Regions from separate parts of the Mus musculus genome. Here all the other regions are reported to be linked to region 2. The links are microRNA targets in miRTarBase. Many come from high-throughput screens and were not tested one by one. Region 2 holds a microRNA gene; each other region holds the end of a gene's coding sequence.
What was found. Region 2 holds the annotated microRNA mmu-let-7e-5p (UGAGGUAGGAGGUUGUAUAGUU, at 1,838-1,859, opposite strand). A microRNA usually pairs through its seed, bases 2 to 8, with sites in the 3' UTR of a target mRNA and lowers its output. Matches are read on the target gene's strand: a 7mer-m8 pairs with bases 2 to 8, a 7mer-A1 pairs with bases 2 to 7 and ends in A, and an 8mer does both.

Region 1: the mRNA of Il13 is a reported target of mmu-let-7e-5p. Seed matches in the 3' UTR shown: 8mer at 721-728.
Region 3: miRTarBase lists Nup214 as a target of mmu-let-7e-5p. Seed matches in the 3' UTR shown: 7mer-m8 at 2,696-2,702.

Annotation. Positions count from the first base shown.
Region 1 is chr11:53,628,208-53,632,336 of GRCm38, reverse strand. Il13 (interleukin 13) reads left to right here. Exons shown (of 4, transcript NM_008355.3): 4 at 177-1,014. The coding sequence ends at 272. Among named protein-coding and RNA genes, the nearest start is that of Il13, 4.4 kb to the left of the region's middle.
Region 2 is chr17:17,828,086-17,832,224 of GRCm38, reverse strand. Mirlet7e (microRNA let7e) reads right to left here and starts at 1,873; the gene lies at 1,781-1,873. It overlaps Spaca6 (sperm acrosome associated 6), which reads right to left and starts at 1,250. Exons shown (of 9, transcript NM_001162909.1): 1 at 963-1,250; 2 at 86-166. The coding sequence starts at 1,221. Mir99b (microRNA 99b) reads right to left here and starts at 2,037; the gene lies at 1,968-2,037. Mir125a (microRNA 125a) reads right to left here and starts at 1,413; the gene lies at 1,346-1,413.
Region 3 is chr2:32,051,709-32,055,847 of GRCm38, reverse strand. It overlaps Nup214 (nucleoporin 214), which reads right to left. Exons shown (of 36, transcript NM_172268.2): 35 at 4,050-4,074; 36 at 1,873-3,729. The coding sequence ends at 3,696. It also overlaps a transcript of Fam78a not described here. Among named protein-coding and RNA genes, the nearest start is that of Mir7674, 2.8 kb to the right of the region's middle.

The DNA.
Region 1 (4,129 bases), not on the chromosome of region 2:
AACCTTCACCTGAACCTCAGTATTCACAGTTGTAAAGTAGAGGCAGAGCCAGAAGCCACCTGGCAGGGACTTTTGGTAGCATCGTAAGGGCCTGTCCCTGGAAAGCCCCTGCTGAATGCCAACTGTTCTTGACCTTGGCGTCCCTCTAATGGATGGGCTTCTCTGCCGTTTCACAGGTCTCCAGCCTCCCCGATACCAAAATCGAAGTAGCCCACTTTATAACAAAACTGCTCAGCTACACAAAGCAACTGTTTCGCCACGGCCCCTTCTAATGAGGAGAGACCATCCCTGGGCATCTCAGCTGTGGACTCATTTTCCTTTCTCACATCAGACTTTGCTGGGGAGAGGCAGGGAGGAGGGTTGAGGAGGAAGGGAGATGCCTCAGCTTTGGCCTCAGCCTGCACTGCCTGCCTAGTGCTCAGGGTCTCAGCCTGGCAACACCCCCACCCCACCCCCACCCCCGCCGCCCCATCCCATCCCTACAGAAAACTGCAGCAAGACCGTGAGTCCAGCCTGTGGCCTGGTCCACACAGGGCAACTGAGGCAGGCAGCAGCTTGAGCACATTTCTTCTTGATCTTATTTATTATGGTTGTGTGTTATTTAAATGAGTCTGTCAGTATCCCGGTGGGGACATGGTTTGCTGCCTATGCCCTGGGGGCTCCAGCATTGAAGCAGTGGGCTCTGGGGTCCCTGGCAATATTACTGTATACATAACTCTGCTACCTCACTGTAGCCTCCAGGTCTCACCCCAGGCAGGAGATGGGAGGGGAGGCCAGAGCAACACTCCTGTCTGCCACGGCAGCAACCAGCCCTCAGCCATGAAATAACTTATTGTTTTGTTCTTATATTTAAAGTATTAAATAGCTTAGCAAAGAGTTAATAATATATGGAAGAATGGCCTGTTACACTCAAGGTGATGTGTAGTGAATGGGGGGAGGGTGGTGGGTTTGTCACTGAACAAACTTTTCATTGACTGTCAAACTAGAAACCGGAAATAAAGATGGTGACAGATAGGCCTGCCTGCTTTGGCTGTCTTTTTTTGGGGGGCCCTGGGGGATGCTGCTCTGTGGGCTCCAAACTGAGGAGCCCAGTGTGGGGTAGGCTGCTCAAAGGAGAGATAGGAGGAGTGATGAGCAGGACCTGGGCTGAGAGAGAGTAAGTCCTCTGGTCTGTGGCCGACCGAGGAGACACGCCCCCTGTCTACTGTGGGGGATCCGGGGGAGCTTGGGCCAGGAAATGTCTGGGGCAAGCGGGGAACCTCTTGGGTATCTCCTGATGACTGGCCAGCTTTGTCTGTACCACCCACACAGTCTCAGGTCTCCCTTGCCACCCTAGGAGGGCACATAAGAGCCCGAGGCATGGGCTGGAGAGATGGCTCAGTGGTTAGGAGCACTGACTGAGCCAGGCAGTGGTAGCACACGCCTTTAATCCCAGCAGATGCAGATACAGATGCAGGCGGATTTCTGAGTTCGAGGCCAGCTTGGTCTACAGAGTGAGTTCCAGGACAGCCAGGGATACACAGAGAAACCCTGTCACCACAAAACAAAAAAACAAAACAACAACATCAACAAAAAGAGCCCGAGGCATGATGCGGGCAGGAGGCTCGTCCAAGGCATGTACTGGGAGGAAATAAAGGCTACATTCTGCCTCCTCTTTCAAAAGTCACCCGCCTAAATGCATGGCTCTTTCCAGTATACTGCCTGTTTGGATGTCCCCTGGTGATGAGACATTCACCACTTACTTTCTAAGGACAAACTGTTCAGTTTTGTACGCTGGGATGGACCAGATACATGTGGGGACTAGGGTAGACAGACATGGAAGACAGCACCTCAGAGCAGGTGGCCTGCCTCTCCCTTGCTGGCCCGCAAGCTGGAGTGTTGGGAACGGCTGCATCAGTAAGCGCTAGCTAACATGATGTCTGGTGGCATCCTTGGGAGGTGCTGCCCAGAGCGGAAAGCCACTGAGAAGGGCAGGAAACTTGTGTGGCAGGCGTGGGGTGGGGGTCAGGGACCGCTCAAACTCTGAATGACAGCAGGAGCCCTCCTGGAACAGGCCAGATCTGAGATTCCAGTACTCAAAGTTGCATGTCAACCCAGCAACACCAGATGACATGGCAGCAACTTAGCCAACGCATGGGGAATAGTCTCCCCTTCCTGCCTCACAGCTGACAAAGAAGAGAGGCAGAAGAGACCAAGCAATAGCGCCCAGAGCCAGCTACTCTGCAAGAAAGGGAATATGGATAGCAGGGCAGGACTGGCTTCCAGTCCTGCCAGAGAGGTCACCTTTTCTGAGGACTATCTGTGCTGGCACAGCACCGGCCACCCAGATTGAGTACTGAAGGACATGGTGCCAGACAGAACTTACAAAGGCAGGGAAGAGGATGTCTCCTCCATCTTTCCTGCTGGGAGCCCTGCTGGAGAGTTCGGGGTGAGCAGTGGCCTTCTCTCCTCCTTCTCTACCCATGGTCTAAAATCAAAGATTAAATGGACCATTTTTTGTTGGTTTTTTGCTTTTGTTGTTGTTTTGGGTTTTTTTTGTTTTGTTTTTTTGTTTTCTTGGGGTTTTTTTTGTTTGTTTGTTTTTTGGTTTTTGGTTTTTTTTGAGACAAGAGTTTCTCTCTGTGGCCCTGCCTATTCTGAGACTTGATATGTAGACCAGGCTGGCCTCAAACTCGTATTCACCTGCCTCTACCTCCCCAGTGCTGATATTAAAGATGTGCGCCACACTGACCAGCTTGCTTTGCTATTTTTAAAAAAGGGTGAAATGTGTATGTGTGTGCGCCCATGTATGTACATGTATGTGCATGTGTGAGTGTGCATGTGTGTGTGACTGTGTATGCATATACATATACATGTGTGTATGAGTGTGTGTGTGTATGTGTGTGTGACTGTGTATGCATATATATATACATGTGTGTATGAGTGTGTGTGTGTATGTGTGTGTACCCATGTATGTACATGTATGTGCATGTGTGAGTGTGCATGTGTGTGTGACTGTGTGCATGTGTATACATGTGTGTGTGTGTGTGTGTGTGTGTGTGTGCGTGCGCACTCGTGTAGATAAGCTAGAGGACAACCTTGGGTGTTATCCTCAGGAGCCGTCTACCTGCTCTCTATATGTCTCTCACTCACTGATCTAGAACTTTTCTTATTAGGCTATGCTGGCTGGTCAGCAACCCCCAAAGATCCTTTAACTTCTGCCTCCCCCGTGCTGAAGTTCCGAGTGTGCACCCCCTGCCCTTTTCCTCATGCTTTCAAGGCAAGCTTTTTACCCACTGAACCCTCTCTCCAGGCCCCAAGAACAATATTTCTCAAAAATATTTCTGTGAATAGATTATAGCTTCATCTTTACCCAGGTCCCCTAACTGGCCAAAGTGTCAGCCTGTCTGTCTGAAATAAGGGACATGGTTCAGGGGGATAAAAAGCTCTTGCTATTCAAGCCTGATGACCTATGCTCAATGTCTGGAACTTGTACAAAAGGTCAGACACAGGAAGAGCAACTGGAATGCCAGTGCTCTTACAGTAATACAGGAGATGGAGACAGGAGAATTGCCCTGAAACCCATGGAACAGCTGTCCCTCAAGAAACAGGAAGAAACAGGGTTGGAGAGATGGCTCAGAGCCATCTGGTTAAGAGCACTGGCTAATCTTCTGGAGACCCTAGGTTTAATGCCTAGCCCTCACAAGACTATAATTCTAGTCCCAGAGGATCTGACGCCCTCTCGTAGCCTCCACGGGTATTGCACACACATGGTGCACAGAGGTATACATGCAGGCAAACCCTTATCATGTAAGATAAGAAAATACAATCTCAACTGGGCATGGTGTCACACACCTTTAATCCCAGCACTCAGAAAGCAGAGGCAGGCAGATCTCTGTGAGTTTGAGGTCAGTCTGATTTGTAAAGTTGAGTTCAACAACATCCAAGGCTGTTTCACAGAGAAACCCTGTCTTGAACTCCACCTCAAAAAAAAAAAAAAAAAAAAAAGTAAGGTCAAAAGCAAGAACCAAAAGTTGTTCTTTGACCTCCATCCATACGTATGGAGCTGCACAGGTGCACATGCGTTTAAACGTTTGTGTATACACAGACACATAGACATAAACACACACACACACACACACACACACAC
Region 2 (4,139 bases):
CAACAAATAACCTAACTCAGACAGGTTCCCAGGGTCACTTCCTCAAGATGACTTTCCCCACCACTTATGCCCATAAAACACTCACCCCGTCGTCTAGCAGCCTTCTCCTGAAGAGAAACTGTCATCTGTGTAAATTCATCATGCAGGTAGCTCCTCTCATCATAGTCTGAAGGTAGATGAGACACCATGGCACAAACCTGGTTCCATGGTGTTCTCTATGTCCCACTCATGGCTGAATATCTCCAAGCCCTGTGATCATCCCAGATTCTATAGCCCCAGTCTATTGTTCTATGTGCCCCACCTAGAGCTCTCTCTCTCTCTCTCTCTCTCTCTCTCTGTGTGTGTGTGTGTGTGTGTGTGTGTGTGTGTGTGTGTTTCCCTAACCCTAACCTAAACCTTCAATCTTGGTATCTCTCCATCCATCTAATCTCTCTCTCTCTAGGCCTGTTACCTGGTACCCTGGATCTGCTTCCTCATCTACATCTTTACTCCAACCCCATTGGTCTCTGTCCCACCTATCTCTAGATCACTGTCTCTCTATTCTTCCTGAAACTACTCTCTGTATCTATACCTATGTCCCTCACTTTGGGACTCTGTTCCTGTCTTATCTCTATGTACCTTACTCTCTGTGTGTCTCTCATCTCTCTGGATTGATTCCTAGCTCTCTGTCCCTCTCTCCAGGTCTCTAATCTCCCCACTCATCTGTGTTCCCAATCCATATCCTCTCTCTGAGCAATGCTTCTACTTTTCCATCTCTTTCCCTTACTGTCTTTAGACTCTCTCTGAGGCACTGTTTTGTCTGTCTCCACCCCACTCTGGACCTGTTTCCTTCCATTGTTTCCACCTGTCTCTCTTCTCTGTGTCTATGTCATGATCCTGTACTTGGCTTTTCTTCTTGGAGTAGCTCAAGGAATCTCCTTCCCCTCCCCAGGGCCCTGGTTCAGGAAGGAGGGGCTCCTCACTGATTTTCATGTCTTTGAGATCTTCAAAAGCCCCTTCAAGCTCATTTCTGCACAGGTTTATCTTGGTTTCCTCTCTGCCCACAAACAGCTGGCAGACACGGAGGCGTTCCTCATAGGTAGTGAAGCAGAAGAGACAGGCCCACGTGGATGCCCTGAAGATCAGCAGGAACAACAGGACAATGCTCCCTACTAAGGAAATAAGACCCATAACAGAGGGTCTCCGGGTCTGAGGAGAAGATAGTGACCTTTGTGAGGTCATTGTGGGGGAGGGGGAGCCTGTGATCAGAGATTGAGTTTCAAATGATGGTCAAGCATCAGGCTCCAGCTAGAGGAAGGTTGCCAGGGGTCACCTGAAATCCCTAAATTTGTGGCTGGGCCAGGCGCCAGGCTCCCAAGAACCTCACCTGTGACCCTGGACGTCCTCACAGGTTAAAGGGTCTCAGGGACCCAGAGGCCGGCAGTGTAGCTATGGTGGACCAGAAAAACCCTTTTCCCCAGAGGTGGGAACGGGGAAGCGAGACAGAAACAGATACCCTAAGCCCCAGAAGATAGAAAGGAACCAGGAGATGCCTCAAAAAGCTCAGAAACCCAGTGTCACAGAGATACATTCACAGCACTAGAGAAACAGAAGCTTCTAGAACCCTAGAGACATTGGCATAAGAGACAGAGACAGAAAATTCGAAAATCTCAAGATGGCATAGAGACTGCAAAGAAAAGGGATAGGATAGAATGTGAACAGAGAAGACACCCCAGCTCCTATCAAGAACTCTTGGGCAATGGTGTGGACCTGGGGTCCCCGCCGGCCCCTTCCAGTGCAGGGCGCAGCCTGGGGAAAGCTAGGAGGCCGTATAGTGATCTCCTCGGGTGTCTTCCTCAACTATACAACCTCCTACCTCAGCCCGGGGGGCGCGGCAGGTGGGCAGATTGACAGATGGATTGATGGGAGACCAGAAGTAGGGAGGGTGGGGAGGGCCGGGGAGGTCCCAGCCGCGATGGTGAGCCCCCGACACGGACCCACAGACACGAGCTTGTGTGCGGCGAAGGCCCCGCAAGGTCGGTTCTACGGGTGGGTGCCAGGACCCAGGAGTCCGGGCCCCCGGCCCCCTCCTCCCCAAGGAACCCAGGAATTCAGTCCCAGCCCCAAAATCTAAGCCCCAGCCCCCCTCTTTCAAGGCCAGAGATCCAGACCTCAGCCCTCCTCCCTCAGTCCCAAAGCTTCCTCCCTTAGACTAAGGGGTAGTGGTCACAGCCCTCCCTCCCACAGATCCAGGGAAGCAGACCCTGCCGCCTTGCACTCAATTCTCCTCAGTCCAGACCCAGGGACTCAGTCCCTAACCCTCACAGTTCTCCTCCACCCCATAGCCCTCCCCGGCAGACTCAGGGTCCAACCAGGCACATCCCTTAGAGAAGACAATCTGGTTAGAGACCTGACTTCTGCACTGCAGAAAGGATGTATCCCCGTTTGTCTTGGCAATCTGAGCCCCTTCTGTAACCCCTAAAGGTTTCATATCCCAGGCCTGAGTTAAAGGCCTTCTGAGTATCAGAAGTCCTCATGGGTCTCATGGAATAATCCTATCTTTTCCAAAACCATTCTCAACCTTTGGGGTGATAGCTATGGTCAAGGAATAATGACACCAACCAGGACCCTGTCTCCTCAACACCTCCCAACTCAGAAATGAGGTCGCTCCCAGCACACAGGAGCCCCCAGAGGGGAAGCCACTAGACCAAAGTCAGTTGTCGGCAGGTGGGAGGAGCCCTAGGACCTGCACCCACCCTGAGGCTCTGAGCACAGAACTGGTCTTCTGGGGCTCCCAGGTTCCATGTCCGTCTTCTTGTTTCTTTCTCTCCACCCATTTTTTCTTACCTTGCTCTTTTCTTATTCTCCCTTTCTTTCTCTGTTTGTATCATCCCTGATGAGGTTTTCCTCTTCGCCCATATCTGAATGCCTGCTCCTCCCGCTGTCTCTGTTCTAGCTGACCCTCTTTACATTCACCTCTCTTCCTCACCTCCTATCTTCTATATCTACTTCTCAAGTCTCTTCCTCTTTTTCACAATCTTCTTTCATTTCCTTCCCTGGCTTTGTCTCTCTTTTTCTCTGGATTCCTATCTCCCTCTCTTTTTCTCCTCCCTGCTTTTTTATTTAGTCTAGCTTCTACCCTCCTCCCATCTTCCAGTCTCCTCCCGGGGTCTCTCCCTTTCTCTCTCTCTTTTCTCCTTCCCTCTTCTCCATCCCCTCCCCCCATTCTTCTCCCTTTCTCCTTCCCTCTCTCTCTTCTCTCTCTCCCTCCCCCTTGCTGCTCGGAGCCAGGTCTGGAAATGGGGGTGGAGTGGGGATGGAGTGGGGGTGGGTTGAGAAGGGGCCCTGGGCCGGGGTAGCGACCTGCTGAGGAGGGGGAGGAGAGGCGGGAAGAGGGCGGAGAAGCAAAAGAGGAGGCGGGGGACCTGAGACCAGTCTTCGGCCTGAGCTCAAGTCCTCCTTTCCCTCCTTCCCAACCTCCCAGACCCTCAGGCGGGGGCGAGAGTCAGGCCAAGGTGGGGAGGAAGGGGAAGGGAGGAGCCCCCCCACCCCCCCCCAACCAACCTGGCTCAGAGCCCAGGCCTGGGTTCCCAGCATGCCCCGGGGCTGCCTGGGGCCTGAGGGGGGGGGGGCGGTGAGGGAAAGCAGGGAAGGGAGAATCTTTAAGATTCTCCAGCCCTGAACATCTCTCCACACACCCTGCAAGTTTCTCTTCAGAGGGCCAACTGAGGCTCACAGAGAAGGTTCCGAACTGGTTCAAGGTCACTGCCCCAGGCTTGGGTGCATCTCCCTTGGGTTCACAGGCTTGCTTTGAGGAAGGGGTAGGCGCTCGACTTCTCCCTGGGCATGGGTCCCCTCCCCCTCTTTGCAGACCCTAGGGAGCCCCCAAGGGTCAGAGAGCAGACCCAAACAGTCTGGCACCATAGCAACCAACTGGTCCCGCCCCCTTAACCCCTGGAGGGCTGGACTCCAGCTGGGGCTAAAAGGGGTGGGGGAAACCTGGTTCTCAGGAAGGAGCCCCCCACCTATGCCCCAGTCCAGGCAGAGAAGAAGAAAAATGTCTGGGGCCCTGACTCTTGGGTTCTGAAGGAGGAGGGGATTGGGGTTGGCCTATGCTTATGTGCAGGAGGTGATGGCTGGAGAGTGGACTCCTTAGTCAG
Region 3 (4,139 bases), not on the chromosome of region 2:
GGGCTCCTTTTGGTCCTTTGGGAATTGAAGAGCCAGGCACCGCTTGAGGCCCCTCTGCCCGGAAGCAGGTCTGTCTCTCCATATGCTTGAAACTTTGCCGACCAGGTCTCTCAGACCAAGGGGACTGCAGTTGTGATAGGGAAGCTCACAGGAGGTCTATGTAACTGGGTAACTAGCTCTGTTCTGCCTTGGCATGTCATCCTGTCTACCCCCACCCAGCCAAGGCTTTCATCTGCCCTTGTATTCCCTTACAGGCTCCTTTCTATACATAGAAGGCAGTTCAGCCTAAACCCTTGACCTCAAATTCTCCACACTAATCCTCCATTGAGACAGCATTTGACATCGCTCCATAGGCCGTATCAGCTGTGCTCTGCCAGAAAACACTCCAGCACTTACTGTCGTGCTTAGTGAGGCACAGGAGGAATGTGCTGCTGCTGTCAGCCCCCTCTAGCTCTTTTTTTGGGGTGGATTACATTGATAGGTGGCCAGGTCGAGCCAGCAGCTCAGTGCATGTCCCATTGAAGTTCAGGATGCTGGGCTGGGAGGGAGCTGGGCTTCATGGAGCTTGAGGAGGAGGGAGAAAACGGATTTTTCTAAGCTCTCTCATCATGGTCTGTTTTGCTTTCCCAGATGTAAAATGAAGTTAGTGCTTCAGGTGGTCACAGTGGTAGAGGCCATCGTTTGGTTTCTCAGAGACAGACTCCCATTAAGTCCAGGAGCTCTTTCCCTGTGCACACATGTGCACAGTGGCTGAACCTGTCTCAGGGCTTCCCTGCTGCCTTGCTTTTGCTATTTCGGCAGCCTCCACAGAAGTTTCTGGGTCAGGTCTCCGGCACCGCAGGGAGGGTGTGGACCATGGAGACCAACTAACTCAGCACTGAGCCTCAGCAGCTCTGGCTAGAATTCAGCCTCCAGAGTAGTAGTGAGGGGTAGGATGCTGCCCAGCAGGTGGCCGGGCCTGAGCAATGACAGTACCTGAGAGCACTTGCATTGAGCTAGAACTCAGTGGTGGTGACTGTCATTCCCATGTACAGGACTGGATCTTGTGACATTGAGTATGCTTCCACAGATTCTCACTTTAGGGGGAAGTGTGGACTCCTGACCCATGGTCAGCAGTATGCCCCCCCTCCCCCCCATAAGCACACAGGGATTTGGTAAGAGGCGTAGGTCTGTGCTCAGAACTGTTCCAAGTTGAGGCTCTGATGGGGCAGAGCTACTGTGGGCCCTCCAGCCTGCCTTCAGCATGCAGGGCGTCAGGACAGGTGTGGTCGGCCAGCCTGAAAAGCTGGCCAACACTAACTGTGAAAGGAGTGAGTCCCCAAGGCATCCTCACTCCCTTGGCCATGGTTATTGTGGTTGGTGAGTTCCTGTCATTCTAGAATTGTCAATGAGAGATGTGAGTTTAATATTAAGCTTTCTCGGGCTCGTGAGATGGCTCAGTGGGTAAGAGCACCCGACTGCTCTTCCGAAGGTCCCGAGTTCAAATCCCAGCAACCACATGGTGGCTCACAACCATCTGTAACAAGATCTGACGCCCTCTTCTGGAGTGTCTGAAGACAGCTACAGTGTACTTACATATAATAAATAAATAAATAAATCTTTAAAAAAAATATTAAGCTTTCTCTGGGCACCTACTTTATAAGATATATATATAATCTGATCACACAATTGGGTGTGTCACCTCCCCTCACCTCTGTGGCTGGCTGAAGTCCACTGACAGCAGGAAGTACCTACAGACCCTCTTGCCTGAAGGAGGACCCCCCCCCCGCCCCCCGCCACCTGATCTCTGTCCTGCTGCTTTGTCAAGTGTAACAACTCAATGCTTGAAGCAGGACTATGGCACCCTTGGAAATTACCTCAGTTGAATTTTCTCAGTTCACTAACTCCTTCATTTCCATTTTTAATCTCAGTCTTCCTCTTCAGGTAACAAAACGGGCTCTTCCCTCTCTTTACCCAGTTATAGTCCTCATCCATGAATGTTCCCCATCAAACCCAGAAAGCCTGGAGCAAGTGCCTTTCTTCCCAGCACTTGATATATATCGGAAAGGGTGGATCAGAGAGTTTGAAGCCAGCCAGGGCTGCAGAGTGAGACCCTGACACAAAAAGAAGCCTGGCGATCCCTTGGTCTGAGAGACCTGGTCGGCAAAGTTCCAAGCATACGGAGAGACAGACCTGCTTCCGGGCAGAGGGGCCTCAAGCGGTGCCTGGCTCTTCAATTCCCAAAGGACCAAAAGGAGGCCACACTGAGGCTCTCAAGGCTCCAGCTCCTCAGAAGAGGCAGAGCCCCTAATGAGTGAAGCATGCAGACAAGTCTCTGTGGCACAGAGAATGGGTGACAGTCCGGGTGGACCCTGTGCCTAATTCTAGGTCTTGTCTTGGCTCTGGTGATGGCTGGTTAGGAACCCAGCAGGGCAGATTCCTCTTGAGATGATAAGAAGCCACTGAACACTCTGGGGGAGCGCCCATCCCTGATGGTCATGTTCTTCCCCTGAATAAGGATGGATGGAGGCTTGAACTCCCTGTCTGAGGCCAAGGCTGAGACATAAGGGCACACCTGAGCAAGCTGTGGCATGGGGGACACAAAAGCCAATAGGACCACAGTCACACTGACTGCACCATGACCTTAAAGCATTACAAAACAGCATCTTAGCAAGGTGGTAGTGGGCATGCCTTTAATCCCAGCACTCAGGAGACAGAGGTAGGCAGTTCTCTGAGTTCAAGGCCAGCCTGGTCTACAGAGCAAGTTCCAGGACAGCCAGCTACACAGGGAAGCCCTGTCTCAAAAACAAGAACAACCCCTGAACAACAAAGGAACCAAAACCTTTCCAGTATGACAAACCCCAACCCACAGCTCTTCCCTCTGCCCTTGACCCAGTCCAGAGCAGTGCCATGTTGTGAACCTGAAAGGTGACAGATGGTCTCTGCAGAGGCTTTGGTAGCACAGGACTCCACAGCCCAAGGAGCAGAACATGCCAGGCCCTCAAAGCTAACGCACCCAGAGAAAGAAGCATGTCTAAAATGGATTCGCACACTGTCCAAGCCTGCAGCGACTTGTTGATGTCCCCGTAAGTCGTGGGTTCCAAACAGTGAAGGAAGGACGTGGTGTTTGTAGGTCTGCAAATGCTGTGTATGGAGACGATCAGCAGACTGCCTCTGCACTGGGAACTGGCAGCAGATGCAGAGCATGCAGGAGCAGAGACAGGGTGGCAGGTGACAGGCAGCTCAGCGGCTGCCTCCCTGGTCTGTTTGCCATACCTGTCTTAGAACTGGCTGTGAAGGAAGGGGCCCTCACAGGAGCCTGACATGGAACCACAGAACATGTGGCATAGACATTAACGTGGGGAGGTGTCTGCCACATTCTGCTCTTTTCCATGTAGAGGGGCTCTACTCAGAATGCCACTGGGCAGAGACCACTGGCTTGGTTTCCTCAAGCCATAGGAATGTCTCTGGCTGTGACCCAAATAAATACCCAGATGTTCTGTGCAGAACCAGACCAAACACTTTAATAGCAGACGAAAAACTTGATGTAAAATTTGAAAGCGGGGAACAGGCAGTTAGTTAAGCATTGCTGAGCTTTGGTCTCCAGTGTTTCTTCCTGGCTGAGCGTTTTCATGAGAAAGTTCTTTTGACAGTCTGTTGCTGTGGAGGGATGCGCACAGGAGCTCACAGGAACTTGAGGGAATGCTGACATCAGCTCAGCTTCTCCAGCCACCGAAGCCCTGGACAGACCTGCAAGAAGTGCAGAGAGGATCAACACACAAGCCTCGAGTTGGGCCTGGAGCCTTCAGTAGCAGGCAGCTGGAGACACCACCACAGAAATGAGGCAAGTGTCTCCACGCCCTGCTGCCGGGAAGGCCAATCATCTCTTACTCAGCCTCCCGCAGGCCGGCAGCCCTAAACCCAACACCTGCTGCTAACCTGGCTCTTTAGCCTGGCTCTGCAAACAGAAACAGCACATCACACAAGTCCAGCATGGCCGAGACTTCCCCCTCCCTGGGCCATTTGACTGAGTTAAGTGAGGGCAGACCACAGGGCAGACAAGTACTTACGAGTTAGATGATCCAAAGGTGAAGGCTGAAACACAGAAAGGAGGATGTCAGAGCCGAGAGCTGAGGGCCTCTCAGCTATGCAGGCTCTGT